3 linked regions of the Diceros bicornis minor genome follow. The protein of the gene in region 1 interacts with the protein of each later gene in a biochemical or structural test. Links are inferred from orthologs where the notes say so. Each region holds a gene or a part of one and is shown in the gene's direction. Other genes may lie near its edges.

Region 1 (7,332 bases):
CTGGGTTTCTGAGAACCACAGCACCAGAAGGAAAGAACAGTGCAACCTCATCATCTGAAATCTGGCAGCGACATGAGGTGCCTGCCATCCCTCACCTCATGGCACAGGCAATCAATAGGCAGCTGCAGGCAGAGGGACTACTGCCCCCTGTCCTCCCACCTACCGAGTCAGAGAGGAAGGAGTTAGGATCAGTGGGAGAGAAATGGTACAGTAGCAGCCACCACCCCCTGAAGCACTAACTCCAAACCCACACCAGGATGCCAGATGCCCCCTCCTCAGGTCCCATGTCCCTCCCTCCCACCTGGGCCCACACTGAAGTTCTGGCTAGGCAAGGACTCCAACAGTGAGATGAATCAAACAGTTCCAGTTCTACACGCATTTCTATTTTATTATGGCAAAGGTGAAAACACCACCTTCTCCACAACAGCAATCAGTAAAATTTATCCCAAAAATAACTTGGTACAAAACAGGTCTGTTTCAGAATTAAAAAAAAACAAAACAAAACCAAAAAACAAAAAAAACCTTTACAAGAGTTTTAAATCCTATTTTAAAACATAAAAGAAACAAATCCATCATTGGCCACACAGCCCCAGTCTGCCACCCTCCTCCCGTCAGGGAGCGCACACGAGATGTCTGGGTCCTGTCCCATGCACGGATTTGCTGGTCTGTTTAACTGGTGTCCATCTGAAACACAGGTAAAAAGAGGTTCTCACTCAAAACAGGGTCCCACACACCAGTCGGGCTTTGGTTGGCCCCAGCCTGGCCCTCGTCTGGGACTTACTCTTGCGTTATAAGCATCCAGCTGGGCGTCCAACTCCTCTGCAGAAAGCTGCTGCTTTGAACTCCTGCCAGTGCCTCTGCCCCTGCCCCGGCTGCCTCCACGGGTGCCTCTCCGGGAGCCACCACCACCGAAACCTCCAGAACCACGGTTTCTAGTCATTCCACCTCTGTTTACACTAGCAAGGAAAAGGAGACTCATTTCCATAAATGGAGAGGCCTGAAAGATGAGCAGCCACACAGGACAGGCCAACCCCATCCCAGAGGCCCCACAACTCACCTCTGTGCAGGTCTCCGCTGTGTGTCAATCTGTGATGTGACAAGCTGAATGTTCATGGGGCGGCCTGTGGCAAAGAATACAAGAGGGCACATTCCAGTTAGAGGATTCTGAGACTTGCCCAGGTGGCACCATACCCTGATCTCCATGCAAGCACTGGAAAGGCGCTTTGTGTGCCTCAAAGGCTCCTGACAAGAGATATGGCCTGGAGATACTGCCGGGAGAATAAGACGGCACCAACGACAACCCCAGCAACACCTCGCTCTTTCTTAGTCCAGTTGAGGTGGGTGTCTGTTCAGGTGTCCAAGGTGCTCACGGGCAGAAAGATGTGGGTGATCTGATGGAAGAACTGGTACCTTTGTCTTTATGACTATAGCCCCGAACTCAGAGATGTACTATAGCAGTTCTGAGAAGACTTCACGGAAGTGAATCTTCCGGAAGGAGCTGAAGGAGGGGAGGGATGTAGCTTGCTGGATGGGGGTTCACAAGAGGTTGGCTCAGATGTGTGGGGCAGCACGAGAGGTGTCAGAATAGAAGAGAGAGACAAAGGGGTGAATACAAAGTGCCTTCAGCCAGAGAAGTAAGCCGTATTCCTGCATGGACAGGTGCCAGCCCCAAACTCCACAAACTAGATACAGCCCTCAGTCTTCCTGGGCTGACCCCAAACGCACCATCCAAAGGGACACCGTTGTACTGTTTCATAGCTTTCAGGGCATCTGCCTTCCGTTCAAAGTGCACATCAGCTGTTCCTAAACTGCGGCCAGAGCGATCATAGTGCACGGCCGCCTTCTTCAGAGTTCCAAATTCAGCAAAGAGTTCCTGGGAATTGGAAAGAGCAGCTGTTAGCAAAGCTGTTTTTCTTCTGGTGGCCCAGGGACAATCCCTGGAAGTGTGAGCTGCTTTGGGGATATTTCCCTGGGAGGCAGACTTACGTATGGGGGGCAGGGCAGTGGTAGCGGGAACTGGGGGAAGGGATGGGGCAGGTGGGACAGCAACTTCCAGGAGCAGCTGGGCCTGAGGGCTCCTGCCAACTTGGGGACCTGACACCTATACTGTGATGCAGGTAAAGGATCACAAAGCCCACCAGTGAAAGGCACGAGACTAAGTCACTATCTTCTTCGACAAAGGAAAATTTACAACACACTCAAGGACTGTGCCAAGAAACAGCAAAGGCCAACATCACAGAGCAAGGGATGCTATCTAACATGTGGACCAGCTCAAAGGGCCCGCTGATTCGGGAGCCCTGACCCAGCCCCTCCCCCAGGGCAGATTCTGGCTCACCTTTCCCTCTCCTCCTACTCAAGCCTGCCGCAAAGTCTGAAGTCAAGCGCTGCCATGGAAACTGCCCTGACCTCAGGCAGGCTGGGAGTTGGAGAGGGAACCCAGAGTGTGGGGCTACTCCGGCCGCAGGCACACAGCGGGAAGTGGAGTTCACCAAAAGCGGTTTCCAGTGGATGCCAGAAACCACCTTAAAAAAAGTGTTGAGACACTGTGAGTGCTCACCAGCCTTGCTCTGTCCTCCCACGGTAAAGTCAAACGCCTGGGCTCTGGGAAATTTAACCCAGGAAGGCCCAGTACCCTGACCCAGCCATCTCCAAGACTGACCCCCAAAATATTGTTACTAAACCAGAAAAGAAGTTTAAACGCGTTCGGAATTCAATCAAAAAAAAAAAAAAAAAAAAAAAAGGCTTCAACCAAAGATGGGTTTGAGAATCATGCCACTAACAAGACCCAGGGGGATGGTGATAAGTGAGACAACATGACACAAGTTCCTTATGAGACACAGGGCTCAAGGCAAACAGAGCTGGAAAGATGACCGGCACCATCCTGCTTCTGTGCTTTTCCAGTTCTACAAAAGAAAATCTTTCTCCTCCCAACAAATCATTAAAACAGGTACTAATTAAAGCAAGCAAGCAGCCTAGCTTTATCAGTAACACAGGAACGACTCATATCTAACCAGTCTTTTCCTGTTAGAAACTGGGAACCCCGGCAGAGGATTTCCACTCACAGAACACATCTTAGTAAGGAGCAGCAACTCCTTAGACCAAGCTGGGGGCCTGTCTCCCAACACAAACTGACCTACTTGTGGGACTTTCAACTCTGGCATGACCTCTGCTTTGCACTCCTGCCGCCCCTTACAGGGGACAGCCGCTAGCTCTTGGGTGCCTGGGAGGGCTCACTGTCTTAAGATGGGGGGGGACTTCAGGGCCACATCCCAAACAACACGACCGATTCCGTGCAGGGTGAACTGCTCACCGAGAAGCTCCAAACCCTTACCTGAATATCAGCGTCGGATACTCCAAAATCCAGATTTGACACCAGCAGTTTCCCACCCGTCTCCACGCCGGCACCACCCCCAAATCCGCTGTCGAAAAGGTCGTGTTGCCATTTGTCAGGAAGTTGTTTCGGCTGAAGGAAAAGAAAAACACCAGAACAGAAACAGACCCATTGAGTCTCACTCCAGGGCTCTCTCGCGCGCTCACGGCCACGGCAAGACCCTCTCCGATCGGAGCCCGGAGAAGAGAGCCCAGAGGACACTGCAGTCCTCCGCTTCCCGCCTGCGCGCGCTGGGCCGCAGCCGACCCCGCCGAGGCCCCATGCCCCGCAACTTCTCGGTTCCCTCCTACGAACGTTCCGCCGCCAGTGCGGCCGCGCCCTACACCCCCTCCGCCCCCGGCGCCACGAGGCCCGGCGCCCAGCCGAGACAAAAGGCCGGCAGGGTCTCCGCCTCCTAGGCCCGGCCGGCCGCGCGACCTCCCCGTCCAGCCCGGCGCCCGAGCCACCGGCCCGGCCCGGCCCGCTGTCCTCTCCGCCACGCGCCGCCCCGCCGCGGCCGGCCGGCCTCCGCACTCACCCTGCTGTAGGGCGCCGGCCGGTTCCTGCCGCCGCCGCCCGCAGCGCCGCGGGCGATGGCCGGCCGGTTCCGGATGGGCCCGCCGCCGCCTCGGTTCACTCGCGCGGCGGCCTGCGCACCGCCGCCACGGCCGCCCTGGGAGCCGGCCCGGCCGCGGCCCCGGCCCCCGCCGCGGCCGCCTCGCTGGCTTCGGTTCAGCTTAATGATGTCGTCCAGAGACATGTCCATTTTGTCGGCCATGGCGGGCGCGGAATCGGCCTCAGCTAGAGCCCGCGCGTCAGCACGCTGGAGCGTCACTTCCGGCGCCGCGCGGAGGCTTCCGGTGCCGCGTACTCGGAGCGGCCGCCGATTGGCTGCAGGCGGGCGGGGGCAGCGGGGCGGAGCGGCGCGTGCGCGATAGGACGCGAGGCTCGGCTAGCGCAGCTGCGAGGTGCTGGGAGCTGGCCCCGGTCGTTTTTGTACCTTCCCGCGCCGGCGGCGCTGCCAACGGAAGGCGGGCGGGGCGGCGCGCGATTCGCCGCGGAGGTGCGAGGGCGCGGCCGTTGGGGCGGGTCCGGGCACCGCCCTTCTCCCTTCCCGGGCGGCGGGGGGCGCGGGGCGGTGCGGCCGGGGTCGGGAGCCTCCCCGCCTCGGGCGAGTCCGGTGTGGGGCGCAGGACGCGCGCACTGGGTGGCCTTCCCGGGGAACTGGCGGGCGGTCGGTGTTCGTCTGTCACCACGGGTAGTCCGCGCGGCCCCCTGTTGTTACTACCGAAGCCAGAGTGCCCCTCGCGGGCGTCCGGGCGGAGCGTGCGGCCGACGCAGGTGCCCTAGATGAGTGGCCAGCCTCAGTCGCGGGGCTCCCGCTCTCCCAGGGGCAACCACAGCCCGGCCGCCCTCTCGGCGGCTGCCGGACTCTCAGGGCTCGGACGGCGAGTCCCGCGGGCGCAGACCCTCGGGCTCCGGGCAGCGCCTGTCCTTTGGTGCTGAAACGCTGAGCTCTGCAGACTAAATGTTGTCGGGTGCTCTTTTCGCTCGCCCGCAGGCTCCGCCGCCATGAAGGTGAAGATCAAGTGCTGGAACGGAGTGGCCACTTGGCTCTGGGTGGCCAACGACGAGAACTGTGGCATCTGCCGGATGGCCTTCAATGGCTGCTGCCCGGACTGTGAGTGTCCCCTGTGCCCGCTGCCTCTGAGCTCTGCCTGCTCGTCCGGCCTCGGCGTCTCCCCAGAAATATCTGCACGAAGTTCTTGGGTTTGGGTTTCCCTTTCCTCCAGAAAAGTTGACAGAAACAAGCCAGGCGGTTTGGGCCGTTATTTGTATAAAGACCCCATCAAAAGTTTTGTAAGAAAAAAATGGTGCAGGGCCGGCCCCCTGGCTTAGCGGTTAAGTGCCTGCGCTCCACTACTGGCGGCCCAGGTTCAGATCGCGGGCGTGCACCAACGCACCGCTTCTCTGGCCATGCTGAGGTCACGTCCCACATGCAGCAACTAGAAGGATGTGCAGCTATGACATACAACTATCTACTGGGGCTTTGGGGAGGAAAAAAAAAAAGAGGAGGATTGGCAATAGATGTTAGCTCAGAGCGGGTCTTCCTCAGCAAAAAAGAGGAGGATTAGCATGGATGTTAGCTCAGGGCTGATATCCCTCAAAAAAAAAAAACCCCCCCTCCCCCCAAATATGGTGCAGCTTTTTTTCATGATCAGACTTGGCTATGAAACACATGGGACAAAAAGATGTGTGAAAACTTTTTATTTGAAAATTCTTAACCAAACAAAAAAATGGAATGTTATAAGGACACCCCCCCCCCCAATCCGGCACATAGACTGACAATGGATAAGTAAGATGTTTTGGTATTTGTTTTATGTTTTAGCTGAATGGTTTTCAACTAAGGGCCAGCCCCGTGGCTCAACTAAATGATAATTGACATCTCACCCCACTCACTTCAGCTGCATCTCTAAATGTAACGCTGTTTTTACCCAGCACTGTTGTCACATCAGACAACATGACAGTTCCTTAGTGTCACTCCCCATTCTTAGTCCTTGTTCATATTTCTCCAGTTGTCCCCAAATGTCTTTTCATTCTTGGGTGGTGTGAGCCAGGACTGCACATCTGGTTGCTCTGTCCCTTAGCTATTTAATCTAGAACATCCTTTCTCTGCCTTTGTCGCTTTTTTTAAGATATCTGACTCTTAGAAAGTTGGTGTGTTGCCTTGCAGAATGCCTACTGTCAGCTTTTATCAGTTTCTTCTTTGTGAGGCCTTTGGATTGTTCCTTTGTTCCCAGTATGTTCTGTGAAGTAGAAAATATTTAATTATATATTTGTCAGAAGCAGATTTTTACACCTGTGAATTTAGTTTTCGGTCAGACCCAAGTGAACATGAAGCAGAACGGGGGTGACGGCTTTGCCTAGGGGGTGGTGCCCCAAGGAAAGTGGGCTTGGGGAGTGCTGCCGAGCTCCGTGCTGCCCCGGGGGTGACCAGGCCTGGTTTTGGGGGCGAGGTGAATGCCCAGAATAATCATAGGGCTTTGCTTCTTACAGTGAAATTCAAATCGTTGACTTTTAGTGCAAATACTATTTTATTCTAGGCTTAATGTTTACATCTGCCTTGGCTGAAAGGAAATCGCATCACCCAGGAGTTAATCCATCCTGATTTAATCAAACAGGCAGAATGTAATCTTAGGAAATAATTGATTGGCTCTACTTGGCCAGGTTTTGCTTAGTAGCAAATGAGAATAGCAAGGCACAAGATCTGTCTCATCTAATCTGTTTTAAATCTCCCTTCCTGAGGGTACAACAAAGGCTGTGGGAGCCTAAAGGGACAAGTGTTTGCAGTTTCCTAAGCAACAGATTGTTATTTTGTGAAAAGACAAGTTCTGGGAAGCATGTGACCTCAGCCCATTGTGGGCCAGTGCACTTGTGTGTTAAAGATGGCACCTGTGGGCCAGCACACGTACCATTCCAGCTGTGCCCAGGGCTGGGCGTCTCCACGTTTGCGGGCATGCTCAGGTTTTGTTGAAGTGGGTCCGTTGGCTGCAGAGAGTAGGAGGTTTGGAGTCTGATCTTCGGACCTGCTGGTTGTTAAGTTAGAGTGGGCCGATTGTAATATGCGAAGCGTTTGACAAGCCTAATAAGGTGCTTTCTATCCAGGTTAAGTGACATTGGGTTTCTGTTACTAAACTTGAACTCCTGTGAAAAATCCAGAGTGACTAAGACTGTAATAAATCTGCTCCATGTCCAGAGGGCTTTGGGAATAAAAGTCTTGTTAAGAGGTGTTTTAAATAAAGGACTTCTATTAAGACACTAGCAAGCTCTTGGTGAGTCACTGTCATTGTGAGTCACTGTCATCTCGCTCTTGTGCTCATCAGATGCCTCAGGCAGACGCTAGAATGAAGCAGCTCCTTTGTCCAAACGAGCCCTGCCACAAATGGACAGGGTGGCTTCGT
Region 2 (7,779 bases), on another chromosome or scaffold:
ACGTCCTAATAACACATACTGTGGGTTAAATATAATGCTTCATACGTTCTTACTCTTTCATAATATCTGTAAGGGAAGCATCTCTTTCCCCTCTATATACTATTGCAGTTTCTCCCTGAACTCTCATTTACAAATGGAGAGAGACATATACACATGTATTTAAAATTTCATAAGACTCTTTCTGTCATATATATTCCTGAATTCCTCTCTTTCTATGTACGTGTCTCAAACTTTTCTACCACACTAACCCTTAATGAGTAAACGGGGTCCTATCTCTGTTTCTCTTAAAGACTGAATGCCTTAAGAGTTATATTGTCTCTATTTCCTCATCTTCTCCTTCCCTCTTCAATCACTCTAATTTAGCTTCCATCCCTTAGCACTTCAAAGAGTCACCAGTAAGTTATCAATGATCAATGTGCTAAATCCACTGGACATTTTTCAGTTCTGTTCCCTCTCATTTTGATATATTCTTATCCCTTGGCTTATGTGACACTATACTCTCCTGGATTTTCTTGTACCCCTTTCCCTGCTCCTCCTGTCTCCTTTGCAGGTTCATCTGTTTCTGCCCAGTTATTTAATTTAGGATTCCACAAGGCTGAGTCCTAGAGCATCTTTCTTTACTCTGAACTCCACCAGTGGACAAGCTCATCTATTTCCAAGGCTTCAATAGCCACAACATACCACTGTTGGCTCTCCAACTTATTTCTCTATTCCAGATCTTTTATCCGAGCTTCAGATACACAGGTCCTACTGCTTACTTCACAGCATCTCCACAGAGGTCCCAGAGACACCTAAACTCAACAAATTTTAATTCAAATTCATGATCTTCTCCAAGAAATCTAGTCTCCTTCCACTGTTTCCTCTCTTAACAAAAGACACCACCATCCATCCTTTTACATAAGTGTTCCAGCAAATCTCCATATCTATTTTATCATTAAGAATTGTTATTTTCACCTTCTGAATGTCATTCAAATTCATCTACTTCTCTCTTTCTCAATGCTACGAGCTTCACGTTATTTTTTCCTTCTAGTTTCCTGCTAGCCCATCCAATCAATTCTCCACACTGCAGCATTATTTTTTCAAAACACAAATTTTAAATACAATCATAGCACATCCCACTACCCAAGCTTAAAACCCTCCAATGCAGCGCTGTCCAAGAGAAATATAACGCCAGCCCTATATACCATTTAAAATATTCCAGTAGCCACAGTAAGGAAAAAGAAACAGGTAAAATTACTTTTGCACTATCTAACCCAATATATCCAACATATTATCATTTCAACATAAGAAAAAATAAACTAAGTCTTTAATATCTTATCTGAATAAGTGTAAAATAGATATTTTACACTTATTCAGACTAGCCACATTTCAAGCCCTTAAAAGCCACAAGCAGCTAACAGCTATCATACTGGGCAGTGCAGCTTCAATGGCATCTTATAACTCTTACTCTAAAAACCGCTGAGACACAGTCCTGGTCTGGCCGGGCCCAAGTACCATGTCTGAGGCCTAGGACGGCGGCTTCTTTTTCGGTCCCTGGTCCCCGGTCCCCATTCCCTCCTCAACCTGGCGTTCATCACCCCCGTGACCCATTTTCTGAGGTTCCCCAGCTTCACCTACCCCCCACCGCCAACTTCTCACAATATTTCCTTACCTAGCGCGCCGCAGCCAGCCCCAAACCCACGGCACAGTAACGAAGCCGATCTGTCAATGTTTACTTCCTGGCTTTCCGCCCCCTCCCGGCAGCCACTGCGGTACCTTCCGGACGATCGACACATGCGCACTAACAACTCTTTGAGTGGCTCCTTTGCGACGTTGGTCTCGCGAGATCTCAAGCGGTGCCTATTTCTCTGCCCCGGGTCTGTAGGAGGGGCTCAGCTTGAGCAGCTTCTTTTGGATTCCCTGCTTCTCCGCTCGTGTTTGTTTTAGAATCGCAGAGACTTATGATGTACAGAAAAAAAGAAAAAAATTGGCACCGAGAACGGACCACAGCTTAAGCCTCACTAGAGCATTATGAAATGAATGGGGAAGTGCGTTACGCGTTAAGTTAAAAAAAGCAGTTAAAATTAGTATTAATTAGTAGCCAGGTACTGTGTTACACGCTGGGGACGTGGTGAACACCGTCTCTTTCTCTCCTCGAATTTACATCACACAGAGTGAGAAAGACACTAAAGTAATTATTCAAGTAATTTACAGTTGTAGAGAGTCGCTATGAAAGGAATGCCAGGTGCTATGAGAACGTAAGGCTATTTGGTAATTGTGACACCTCGCCTTGAAGTGATCTTGTATTTTATGATTAGGGAAAAAAATACTATAAAACGATCTCCATTTTGGGAAAACACTGGTATCCATGACATCCCAACCCTCCTTTTAAAGAATACTTATGAAATGAAATACTGGAAAATAAACAGTGCTTTTGGTAGTAGAATTTCCTCTGATTTTTTTTTTCCCTATCTGTTCTGGTGACTTTTTTTTTGTTTTTCAAAATAACATGCGTGAAGATATCTACCGTTTTTGTCTCAGTAAGAGAGCCCATCATAATATAATCTATTTTTTTCTTAAGAATTTGCAGTGCCTAGAGTTTAGGAATGGTAAATATTAATTTTGATTTTTACAGGGCAATAGATGAAGGAATAGAAAGTGTCAGGAAATAGCCTGAAAATGAATAGTCTACGAATCACCCACAGTTTGTTTTTATCTCCTTAAAACAATTCCTGAAATTTGCTTGGAAGTGTTGAGGCCTATTTGGTTAAAACCACCAGGCGCAAGCCAGGGAGCACATCTCCCAGAAGAATCAAAGAATGTGCTGGACAAGCGGGAAGAATCTTTTGTAAGGTTTGAGTTCCCCGTGAGGATTCTGATGAGGGTCTAGGGAAGCAGGGATCAGTTCTGGAAGGGTTGCTGTTTGTAAATAGGGATTAGGATAAACTGGGATTGATTAGGATCTAGGTGCTGTCATGAGGTGAGTGTGGTTTTGCAACTGGGTATCCCCAGTAATAGTTTGGAATAGCAAAGTGGGTCTGGGGCATCATTAGTTAGAAAACAGTGGTCACTCAAAGAGGGGGTGGTTATGGCATTTTACACTTACTGCATGACCTAGGGAGACACGATGCTTCCTGTTGTAAGGGGAAGATTTACCCTAGGGAGATACAAACCTTGCACCCAAAGACTTAGAAGATAGAGCATCCCCACTTGGAAGCTGTAGGTGTTGTACAGATTTGGTTTCGAAGTGAACACTTCTTCACTTTGAACTGATGGTGATGATATAATATGGAGCTGAGACATATAGAAGGGGACACAGAGGGAAAATAAGGGGAGAGGTGGGAATAAAAGAAAAAGGACAGAGAAGGGGCAATAAAGGTATGCATGATTTTTTGTCCTCCCTCTTTTCTTCGCTTTCTTGAGTAGGATCTTTTCTTGATGCCTAGCACAGTGTCCAGCATGTAATCGGCATTCAATAAATACTTGTTCAATGAATTAATCATTCAATCAATTTTGGTCCTGAAATGCCAAGGAAGAAGGGGCAATGAGCTGGCATATAGTAAGAACCATGTCTGTGCCAGGTGTAGTGTTAAACCTTTTGTGAAAGAGTAATGCGGAGTCAACTCCTCTGTCTTGATTCATCTGCAGGTTAAAATCTATCTGGTGACCTGCGGGGAGTAGGGTTTGCATGACACCGGTCAGCTTTGGTCTTTTGAATTTATTCGTTTATCGTGTATTTGTTCAATATATTTCCATTTACTATAGAAATAGGCTAAGTCCATCAACTTTTTCATAATTTCTTTTCATATCTTGAAATTGGAATTCCTTTTCTATATCTTTATTATTCCTCTAATCTTCTCTTGTTGATCCATCTGCCTTTCCGCACCAGGGCCTTCCAGGTGGCTTTCATGAATATGTATATTGTTGAGATGTTAGATGTTTAAAATAAGTCCCTATTAAATGATACAATTTTAAAGGAAGCCTGAATTATGTATTCATTAGGATCATCATTTTGTTTCTAAGTCAGATTCCTGATGCTGTAGTAGAGACAGCATCCTAGCCTGAAATGTTGAGGATAGTCCTGCAATTAGGGAATAATCAGTTCATTCTTAATCACAAGCACAACAGAATGACTCGAACATTGCTGTTTGATCTATCTGTACTTACATTTCTTCTTAATTCCTCCCTGCTAGTGTTCCTTAGACCTAATATGGATTGTCCCCACCTGACTATATATGTATTTTTTCATATCTCTAATTGAGATCCAACTATTAAATATCCATTTTTCCTCAGTGATGACAGTTTTCCAATGACTAAAATGCCTTTCCTGCAGTCTGTTTCTTCTTTTTGTTTGATTTGATCTGGTCTATTTATTCTCTGGACGAATAGTTCATTAGTTGAAGACTTTAGGAAAATAGTTCTGTTGCCACCTTGCCTTGACCTTTTTGAACCTCACAATCTTTTCATTTAAGCACGTCTTGGTCACCCAAGTGTCTCGAAAAAACCCAAAACTCTCTGTCTTGGTATCATAATAATCATAATAATAATTTATTTCTTGGAATTGGAGACCATATTCACTCCCTTTTTATCTATATGAGGAGCAGATTAAAAAAACACCTACAAGTCCACGATCAAGGTGTCAGCAGGTTTGGTTTTTTCCTTCCCAGCAAACAAGCTACAAACTTTCCGGGAAAAAGCTTTCGGGGGCGGAACCCAGGGAGCTTAGAATCCTCCCATTGGTTCTTCCTGAGCCCACCCCGGTCCCGCCCCCTGGGCGGATGAACCAATAGGGGCGTGAATTGTGGTTTAAACACGGATCCTGGCGCGACCGCTGGAGACCGAGTCTTGGGTGATTTTGGCTGTTGATCCCAACGTGGGTGAATGGGAAGGTGGCGAGTGGTTGGAGGAGCGGGGTCCGGCGAGGAAGGAGCCAGGGCGTTGGGGCTTGGGGCCCTGGGGGCCAGGGCTGGCGTCGGGGGTCGGGAGCCGGCAGCCAGGGCGTTGGGGCCTGGGGCCCTGGGGGCCAGGGCTGGCGTCGGGGGCCGGGGGCCGGGAGCCGGCAGCCAGGGCGTTGGGGCCTGGGGCCTGGGGGCTGGAGGCTAGGGCTACCCTGGGTTGTCTATGGCGCCAAGCCGGGTTGAGCCGCGGCCTCGGACTGCATCCGCTACCCACGGCGGTTTGGTTTTGATGAGTACCAGCGCCTGTGCCAGTCCCAAACCGCCAACTCTTCAGGGTCTTAGAGCCCCTGACGCAGGCTTCAAGAGTTAACAGCTGGATTAAGTGCCTGTTCGCTCCGGATCGGGCTTCTCCTTGCGCTTAGCTCTCGTTTTTGCGTGGACGAGCCCAGGGTAGAAAGTCTGGTCTGTGCTACACCATAGCTTCTCTCGTCTTCCCTAACCCCTCAGGGTCTAATATGTATTTCACATCCCTAGCTTAATCCAGAATGGCTACTCTGATCTTTGTTGATAAGGAAAATGGAGAACCAGGCACCCGTGTGGCTCCTAAGGATGGGCTGAAGCTGGGGCCTTGTAAGTATACAGGCTGCAATCCGAGACACAGGTATTGTGAATCAATTGTGAATGCGGCCTGGAGCTGGGGGAGGCATTTAGTGTACTTGGTTGGCCGTTGGAATTAAGTTTACCCAATACTGTTATTGTAACATGCTTGTTATGGGTCTCTTTTTCAGGTTCAGTGTCTTAATGAGATTATTTAAGAGGATACTGGACTGCAGTACTATTAGGCATATCATGGCCATGCCACTGTCAAAAGTGGGGGTTGGGTTTGGGGGTAAAAATTAGGCCAAGTTTACATACAGTCAGCCTTCGAGTTGCACAGGTGTTTACTGTCTGAATAATCTTATGGTAAGACTTTTTCTTCAGCAGTCAAAGCCTTGGATGGGAGATCTCAGGTTTCAACACCACATGTGGGCAAAATGTTTGATGCTCCACCAGCCTTACCTAAAACTGCCAGAAAGGCTTTGGGAACTGTCAACAGAGCTACAGAAAAGTCAGTTAAGACCAATGGACCCCTCAAACAGAAACAGACAACCTTCTCTGCCAAAAAGGCAAGTGTTAGCTATAAAGACATTATTGAAACACTTCACTTCTGACTCATAAAATGACTATTAGCATCCTCTCTGGCTTTCTTCCCTGTGAGCAGAAGGAAATATAGATAAACACAGATAGCAGAAGAGAGTCGTACTGTTTTTGTGGACTTCCTCTGTACCTCAAAACCAGAAGTCTCAGAAGCAGCTGGTGGGGCCGGCCCCGTGGCTTAGCGGTTGGGTGCTCGCGCTCTGCTGCTGGCGGCCTGGGTTCGGATCCCGGGCGCGCACCGACCCAGCGCTTCTCTGGCCATGCTGAGGCCGCGTCCCACATACAGAAACTAGAAGGATGTACAACTATGACTATCTACTGGGGCTTTGGGGGAAAAAAGGAGGAGGAGTGGCAATAGATGTTAGCTCAGAGCTGGTCTTCCTCAGCAATAAAAAAAAAAAAAAAGGATTAGCATGGATGTTAGCTCAGGGCTGATCTTCCTCACAAAACAAAACAAAAAAGAAGCAGCTGGTGAATATTTTTGCCTCACCTGCCTTTAACTAGTATCTTGAGGAAGATTGGTCGGTAGTGTCGACTTACGGATACATGAAGTAGTAAGAGCAAGGGTGTGCTTTGCAAGAGGTCACGTTCCTAATGTAATAGCTCAGGCGCTGCCATCCTCCTCCCCGCCTCCCAGAGCAAGCACCAGCTTGTTGGGTGATGATTTGCTAAAATGTTGACCTTTGTGTGCACGAGCTATAGGTCAGTGCATCCCAGAATAAGAGGACTTTGCTGTGAAAGATGCTTCAGCATGTAGATTAACACTTTATTTGAATAACTGTTTTAATGTGTATTAGGAAAAAACAGCTGCTACTTTACATCAAACCCATGACTTACGTGTAGTGCAGCTTAGGACAAGGATGTCTTTAAAAAACTGAGTTGACTTAGAAACGTTAAATACATGTATTGCAAGGATATGGCAAAAATAATGAGAATGTGACAGAACCGAAGTGTAGGAGACGCTGCGGTAGGGATTTGCTCTAGGCGTAAGATTAAATTCGGTGTAAGATTAAATTTGGAATACACAGGCTTTAGTTTTGGCCTACTACTGTCGTAGATTGCCTACCTGTCAGTTCCAGACTAAGGATTTATCCACGGTGGGCTTCTCAAGTCCTTGACTGTCTTTTGCTGCCTCTCACTCAGTCTGTGTATTTGAGAAATACAAACTTGTTTTTAATATTAACCAAGCAAATAATGAAGGTAATACTGATGGAAAAAATCACACTTCCAAAAGCCAAAAATGGCTTCTAGGACTAGCTACTATTGTGGGTGACTCATGCCCATTTTTTCCTCTGTTAGGTTGAGTGACTGAGTTGATTAGCTCTGAATTAACTCCACTCTGTGTTCTTGATAACTTATGCTGACAGGTGCCAATACTTAAATTTCAGACTTAACTTTTGAGCCACGCTACTAGAATTGCTTGCTGAATTGTATTTGTATGTAATCATGAGAACTAAGGATTATGGTTTCTTAGAAGTCAGCATGAAACTGAAAAAATTTAAACTGTGGCGAAGTGGTCACACGTCTTGAAGAAGCCCTGTGATCTCTTGTACTAATCAGTTGACAAGCCTTCCACTCTCACTAATCCATATTTTCTTGGGTTGTTTTAGATGACCGAGAAGACTGTTAAAGCAAAAACCTCTGTTCCTGCGTCAGATGACACCTATCCAGAAATAGAGAAATTCTTTCCCTTCAATCCTCTAGG
Region 3 (7,220 bases), on another chromosome or scaffold:
TTTGAGTGATTCTAAAGGATAAATCCCTGGAAATGGGATTGCTGGATCAGAAATTTTAAAACTTTGACTGATACTTATATTACTTGGGAAATAAAATGATTATTTAAACTCAAAGAGTAGTAACCGTATAGCCCAGATTTCCCAACTCGGCCTATTTTATAAAACCTACCTTTATTAAGCACTTATTATGTGTCAGATACTATATTTAGCACTTTTTAACCACTATCTCATTTATTTTTAACAACAACCCTGTAAGATAAGTATTAATCCTCTCTGTTTTACAAATGAAGAAACTGAGTCTCAAGGAAATTATTGCCCAGGTTTACACCGTCAATAAGTGGCAGAGGGGGCCGGCCCAGTGGCACAAGTGGTTAAGCGCGCACGCTCCGCTGTGGCAGCCCGGTGGCCCAGGGTTCGCAGGTTCGGATCCCGGGCGCACACCGACACACTGCTTGTCAAGCCATGCTGTGGCGGCGTCCCATATAAAGTGGAGGAAGATGGGCACGGATATTAGCCCAGGGCCAGTCTTCCTCAGCAAAAAGAGGAGGGTTGGCAGATGTTAGCTCAGGGCTGATCTTCCTCACAAAAAAATAAAATAAAATAAGTGGCAGAAACTGGAATTTAAACCTTGTTTGTCTAATTCCAAAGCCAGGTTCTTAACCGTGATGCTATACCACATCCCCCCAGATCATGAAGTGTCCTGATTTTTGTTTTAGAAAATACGGTCACTATAATAATCACATGTGTTGTAAGCTACCGCAGACCATTATTTCAAAGAGGGGTAGAGCTCTAAAATAAGAGTCACCAGTCTGACCAGTTGCCAGAGATGCTGTGTTTCGAGAAAAGAAGGGGGTGGGGATTAGAGGTGTACTAAACCTCTGGGAATTGGGTCCCATACCCTGGCCTCTTGGGCTCGGCTCCACTAGCTCTGAAGAGGTTGGTGAGCCCACTACAGCCACCAGGCTAGGACAAGGTCTTGTTGGTCAGAACTGCTCAAGGGCCAAGAGTATGCTCTGGGACCAAATGAGAAAAGCCCCTTGCGCCAAACTAATGCCTGTCTGTGACTTCATCCCTCACAGTATGCAGCTGACCCCCAGGACAAGCACTGGCTGGCTGAGCAGCATCACATGCGGGCAACAGGGGGGAAGATGGTAAGCATTGTTCGCACGTGCCACTGCCAAAGACCCATCCAGCCCAGGGACCAGGGTTCTGGCTATTGGTGGCAGCTTACCTCCAAATCTGAGAGACTCTCAAAGCTCTCCAGGATGAATGTGGACAGGGAGACTTGTATGGTTAGAGAGGGCCCATTCCTTCATGCTGAAGAGCAGGCTGTAATCCCTGGATTCCCTTCCCTGTCCCTAGGTCTCCCACACAGCACCCCCTCGCCCTACCACGTCATCCCTCCTATTTAGATTGTATTAGCTTTGCATAAGAATGACAGGTACAAAACACACTTAACACTACTTTTCTCTTGTGTGCCATTAACAGATTTCACTCATAGGTCATAACACTCTTCCACCAGACACAGCTATAGAGTCTTTTCTCAACACAGTACTCCAGGCGGCACCCCTCATCCATAGGGGTTAATACATGCAATGAAACTTGTTTGCCACATTTGGCAGCAGCTTCCAGAATCACCTCTACTTAAAGAGTTCTCAGCTCATATCAAGCAACAACCCTAGGAAAATCATTGTTGCATGTGTTCTAAAACTGTTGTGGAGGGCTTTGTCCATCACATGCGGTGTCCCCCAGCTGAGGACTCAACTTAGTGCCACCGCTGGGACTGTTAAAAATTCAGTGGCCTTGCAAACCAGTATGCCCTCTCCTTTCTGGCAGGGAAAGCTATCTTTTATTTTACTACTCTACTTATGCCTACACTCTTTGTTTGAAAAAAGATTTCAGGGAACTTACCATTGATACAGAAAATACAACATAATATAAATAAGAAATAGGGGGAAAAAGGAAAGGCAGGATCTAAAATTAAGCCACAAACAAGACTAGTTTTAAAAAAGTGTTTTTCTAATTGCTGACCTGGGAGACGAGTGTACTTCTATGGGTTCACACAAATTCAGCTCCAGGACCCTCTCAGGGACACCTGATCTGTTACATAGTTCACAATGCCCGTAAGATGAAGACAGTCAGATTACTCAAGGGACACACAATTATTCCTGACCCTAAAACTAGACAGAAGTGTCTTCCACAGAAGACTTGCTCATGTGAGGAACAACATCCCCCGTATGGTAAGCTCACAAGAGGGCTCTCTCCCACTGCAGATCATGGCATTGTGTCAAAGCCATTCTGCAGACCCCAGGCAATACAGCCTAGTTAGTAGACAGCCGTGCAGTTTATCACGTTTTCCCTTTTGCCACAAAGTTCAAAACCAAATCATCTTAGCTCCTAGAGTTAACATATGGCTTCCTCCTCCTGATTTCCTGTTTCCATGTATATTTTGCTAGCTCTCTTGCCATTTTATTTTAAGCTACTTCAGGGTCCTTTTTCAGAAGAGGAGGAGGCTGTAAATAATTTAGTCACCAGTCCCCACTCCCCCACCAATAAAGTTTCTATTTGAGTGAAAGATTGTCTCAGGGAACAATTCCCCAGTCTCCCTACTAACTCTCCCCTACTAAATTGTAACTATGCCCACCTCCCTTCCAGCCCTTAGAGTAAGCAGATGTTTAATAAAATGTTATTAAGTTGAACTGAAATGAATCACAGGCAATGACTACTCTCCTTTGCTCCTGCCCCAGGCCTACCTCCTCATTGAGGAGGACATCCGGGACCTCGCTGCCAGCGATGACTACAGGTAAAACCAGTGATCTGTCTGCTACCTTTCCCCCTGCCTCACAGTAGTCCCTGGGATGAGCCTGGGCCTATATCCTCCTTTGCTGCAACTTTCTTCCTCATTTCTGTTCCAGAGGATGTTTGGACCTAAAGTTAGAGGAGCTGAAATCCTTTGTCCTACCCTCCTGGATGGTTGAGAAGATGCGAAAGTACATGGAGACACTACGGACAGAGAATGAGCATCGTGCTGTTGAAGCACCTCCACAGACCTGAAGCCATGTCCCCTGGCTACATTTGGCAGCCTTCCTCTGAAGCCCTCTTACCCACGTGGCTGAGGCCACCACTGGGATGGATCTCAGCAGCATTAAGCTGTGCCTGGGCTAGTTTGTAGTGACTCACTGCAGAGCGCTCCCAGACTGGCATGTAGTTCTACATTTGTAAAGTTATTGGGATAGGAAGCAATTAAAGAGTTTGTAATAAACACAGATGGTGAGCCTGCTGTGCCGTCTGCCTTGTAGGGGCTGACAAAACATCAAGGGTTCTAGAAGAGGTGGATATAGGAAACCAGGACCATGTGCCCCTCCCCCATCCCAGGGTAGACCCAGGAAAGTCCCTCTGCCCCGTGCACATCTGCTTCATGAGACAAAGGTGGGAACACCATGTACCTTGCCAACCTTCCCTGTCCCTCTTTCTCATTTCCTTCCATACCCAACTAAGGTATGGAAGTAGCAGAATGTGCGTGCTGGCACCATAGGGGGTTGATGACAGACCATATGAAAAATGTGGAGAGGCTTTTATTACCCCCATTTTACAGGTTAAAACACTAAATGATGTTCCTAAGGCCACAGCAAACCGTTGGAGAGGCAGCACATGGACCTGTTTTCTAATAGGGAGTCTCCCGCTCTGGCCATCAGCCTCTAGTTTTTCCCCTCGCATGAATTTTCAGACACTTAGGGCCCTAATAAAGATGTTCAAGATCTTATAACGGGGGGGGGGGGGGGGGGGGGGCGGGGTTTCCGGTTTGAGGAAAGGGTACCAGTGCTGGGCGATTCCCCTGCGAGTAGGGATCCTGTCTGGGCGTGCCTCGTGTTCCCGGCAGTTCTGAGGCGTTTGACCTAAAGGGGCTCATCCCACGTGGACTTTTTCTTGGCCCTTTAATGGTTGGCGTTTTCCAAAGGCCACCAATCTGCTACAGACGCATTAGTTAATGGCGGCCTCATCTGCCAATCGCCCCTCAGAAGCAAGATTCCGCCGTCCAATAGTGATGCGCCGGTGGGTGGGTGGGTCTAGCAGTTGCGTGGTGACAGAGCGCTGCGGCGCGCCCCATTGGCTGGATCAAACCCAAGCGGGCCGCTGATTGGCCCGCGCTGCCGGAGAGTTACAATTCAAACGCGGGCGGCCGGGTCCGCAGCCCTGCAGTTGCAGCGGTGTTCTCCGAGTTCCTGTCTCCCCGCCAGCGCCGCGCGGATGGCCTCCCAGAACCGCGACCCAGCCGCCGCCAGCGTCGCCGCCGCCCGTAAAGGAGCCGAGCCCAGTGGGGGCGCCGCCCGTGGCCCTGTGGGCAAAAGGTGAGTGATGCAGGGGTCACAGCCTCCGGGCCTGGCACGACCTGAGCAGTGGGGCCCAGAGCGAAGACTTCCGGGACCCCCACCTCCTCCTGGAGCGGGTGAGATCTGGGAGGTGGGGGGACACGCCAAGCGCTTGGGCCGCTCTTAGAGACCCTGCCAAGGAGGACGGAAGGGGTAGTCATGCTGCCAGGATCCTCCTCGGGTGAGCCAACATGAAGATGCGCCGGGGACCCTCGGTGGCTTGGCGGGGGCCAGAGGAGAGGGAAAATTGAGATCCGGCACGGAGACAGACGCCAGAGGAGCAGTAGGGGTTAACAACACGCCAGAACCGTCCGGCGGGAGCCTGGAATCAGGGAGGGTGAGGACTCAATAAAATCCTCCTATGGAAATGGCCATGAGGAGTCCCCAGCTGAATCTGACCTCTCAGGGTAGAGAAATGTCCCCATGACAACTGCTCCAGAGAGACTGGGGTGGGAGGAGATGCATCCCCCGAAGCCTTGGCCCATCCAGACTCCCAGGTGACCCCAAATGCTCTTTTTGCAGGCTACAGCAGGAGCTGATGACTCTCATGGTGAGTGACTACCTGCCCAGATCCCCAAGTAGTTGGTCCACCCTCCCACCTTCCACTCACTTATCAGTAGCCTCCTTTCCTACGTCAGGCTCTTTGCCAGACATGGGGGTAAAAAGATGAGTCCAGTTTGCTCTTTTCTGGGTTGAAGTTAATATACCTCACCTACACCTTTTCTTCCAGCAGCCTCTACTCCCAATCCCATCCCCCCACAGTGAAGTTTTCTCCAATACAGTTCCCAGAAGCCATACAGGCCTCCCCGCTGTCCTGCCCTGGCCCTACTTCCCTGCCCTAAGATTTACCCACACCCAACTCTCCACCCTTCTTAGTATTTCTAGTCCTGTCATATCTTGGAATGACTCCTTCCTAGATGACCTTTTCTACATTAACCCTGAATATTCAACTCAAGTTGAATGCCCATATTGTATATCTCTCTAGTCTGTGAATAGTGTCTGGGCTTTGTACATAACGGGCACTCAATAGCATGCTGAATTGAATTCCCAGCAACCAACAAGATTATGGGTACATGATCCCAGTACTCCCCCCCAGAGGCACATGTACAGCCCCAAGAGTCTAACCACATCCTCAGAGAAGCCTACCAATTTGGTCTGGTTGCTTTATTTTGAATCAAAAAGTGATGAGATTAAGGGGAAGGGGTTCACCCACTGACCCCCATTGCTGTTCTCCAAAGTGTACTCTGCAGCCCAGCAGGTGTTGTGTTTCCTCCCCAGATGTCTGGCGACAAAGGAATTTCTGCCTTCCCTGAATCAGACAACCTTTTCAAATGGGTGGGGACCATCCATGGAGCAGCTGGCACAGTAAGTGTAGTGTTGGTGACTTTGCTGGGTCTGGGGAGAGGTAGGAGGTGAGATCCAAGCGCTAGATCTGCTTCTGTCTTTAGCCTGGCAGGACGCTCCCCTGCGTCTGTTCTCCTGCTCTGAGCCAGTGGCCCTGGTCTCTCCCTCTGTACAGTAAGAAGGTGGATTTAAAGCAGGGCTCTCCATCTTAGATGCATAGAGGGGGCCAGACAGCACGGAAAAGAATGGAAGACCAGTGAGGACTTTGGCCAATGGGAGGGCACAAGTCTCAAGATGGCAGCTTCCCATTGCTGCACATCTGGTTTAAGATGAGTCAGAAATCTAGATCTACGTCTCCTAATTTTTACATGTTAGCAACTAATGATCTAACTGGACTAAAGCACAGCTGTGGTAGCCCTCAGGATGCTAATTTACAACCTTAGACCAGGGATCACTGATGTCCCCCAGATAAGAGAGAGAGCACCAGAACCAGTGTAAGACTTTGTCTTCTGTCAAGTCCCAGACAAACTTCAAGGTCCTGGCCAAGCCCCTTATGCGGGCTTGGGTTGGGATATGAGCCTCAGGGTGGGGAAGCTTACTCCCCGCCTCTACTTCCCCACCGCCAGGTATACGAAGACCTGAGGTATAAGCTCTCCCTGGAGTTCCCCAGTGGCTACCCTTACAACGCGCCCACCGTGAAGTTCCTCACACCCTGCTACCACCCCAACGTGGACACCCAGGGTAACATCTGCCTGGACATCCTGAAGGACAAGTGGTCTGCCCTGTATGACGTCAGGACCATCCTGCTCTCCATCCAGAGCCTGCTAGGAGGTGACTTCTGAGACCAGCCCCTCCCCTGCAACCTAGGAACCTGTCAGGACTCCCGGGGCCAGCCTCTTCTACCCCCTGACCATTCTCTTTTTCTCCCCACCCACAGAACCCAACATTGATAGCCCTTTGAACACACATGCTGCTGAGCTCTGGAAAAACCCCACAGGTGGGTCCTTTGTCCTTCTCGGGCACAGGGTGATCCCTCCCCAGTCTTCAAGGCTCCCTCAAACAAAAGGATTCCAGTGACTTGGGAATGTGTCCTGAGGACTGGGTCTGGAGGGGGCTCGGGGTTGGGTGTCAAGCCACATAACCCAGTTCTTCCTCTGCCCTGGTGATTCTGGTTTGCCTGTGTGCTATAAAATCAGAAAATTATCCCTAATGTGGAAAACATTAAGGTAGGTTGAGGGGCTTTTTAAGCAGAAGGCAGCCTTGTGCAAATGACTTGCTACTAAGTCTCCCCAGTCTCACTGGCAGCAGGGCCCATCCAGGAGACCTGACCGAGTGGGCAGCAGAGGGGGAATCTGTTGTGCTGGGAACACCCCTCAGATTCCCCCCACCTGTGCATCCCTGGTCAAGCTGCCCTCTTGCCCACCTTAACTCCTGTCCCCAACGCTCACCAAGACCTGCCTGTTCTCTTCCAGCCTTTAAGAAGTACCTGCAAGAAACCTATTCAAA

The links. The genes of interacting proteins can lie anywhere in the genome.
Region 2: of the proteins of ANAPC11 (region 1) and PTTG1, one has a biochemical effect on the other in vitro, tested with the Homo sapiens proteins (3 studies listed by BioGRID). The link is inferred for Diceros bicornis minor from reciprocal best matches to the Homo sapiens genes ANAPC11 and PTTG1.
Region 3: the proteins of ANAPC11 (region 1) and UBE2C form a complex in vitro, tested with the Homo sapiens proteins (66 studies listed by BioGRID). The link is inferred for Diceros bicornis minor from reciprocal best matches to the Homo sapiens genes ANAPC11 and UBE2C.

Annotation. Positions count from the first base shown.
Region 1 is NC_080757.1:61,219,008-61,226,339, forward strand, and holds the start of ANAPC11 (anaphase-promoting complex subunit 11), read left to right. Parts: upstream 1-4,328; 5' UTR 4,329-4,370; coding exon of another isoform or gene 4,371-4,594; intron 4,595-4,742; coding exon of another isoform or gene 4,743-4,942; coding exon 4,943-5,051; intron 5,052-7,332. Other genes in the region: ALYREF (THO complex subunit 4), read right to left, coding at 670-684, 782-956, 1,058-1,121, 1,726-1,873, 3,332-3,463, 3,909-4,322, 4,371-4,594, 4,743-4,944. UniProt on the Homo sapiens protein: Together with the cullin protein ANAPC2, constitutes the catalytic component of the anaphase promoting complex/cyclosome (APC/C), a cell cycle-regulated E3 ubiquitin ligase that controls progression through mitosis and the G1 phase of the cell cycle.
Region 2 is NC_080740.1:75,856,748-75,864,526, forward strand, and holds the start of PTTG1 (securin), read left to right. Parts: upstream 1-4,762; 5' UTR 4,763-4,852; intron 4,853-5,112; exon of another isoform or gene 5,113-5,411; 5' UTR 5,412-5,422; coding exon 5,423-5,507; intron 5,508-5,858; coding exon 5,859-6,043; intron 6,044-7,684; coding exon 7,685-7,778; intron 7,779-7,779. UniProt on the Homo sapiens protein: Regulatory protein, which plays a central role in chromosome stability, in the p53/TP53 pathway, and DNA repair. Probably acts by blocking the action of key proteins.
Region 3 is NC_080758.1:15,531,691-15,538,910, reverse strand, and holds the start of UBE2C (ubiquitin-conjugating enzyme E2 C), read left to right. Parts: upstream 1-4,203; 5' UTR 4,204-4,248; coding exon 4,249-4,349; intron 4,350-4,892; coding exon 4,893-4,920; intron 4,921-5,648; coding exon 5,649-5,735; coding exon of another isoform or gene 5,736-5,744; intron 5,745-6,193; coding exon of another isoform or gene 6,194-6,291; intron 6,292-6,340; coding exon 6,341-6,545; intron 6,546-6,607; coding exon of another isoform or gene 6,608-6,651; coding exon 6,652-6,711; intron 6,712-7,186; coding exon 7,187-7,220. Other genes in the region: DNTTIP1 (deoxynucleotidyltransferase terminal-interacting protein 1), read left to right, coding at 1,080-1,151, 2,748-2,803, 2,916-3,054. UniProt on the Homo sapiens protein: Accepts ubiquitin from the E1 complex and catalyzes its covalent attachment to other proteins. In vitro catalyzes 'Lys-11'- and 'Lys-48'-linked polyubiquitination.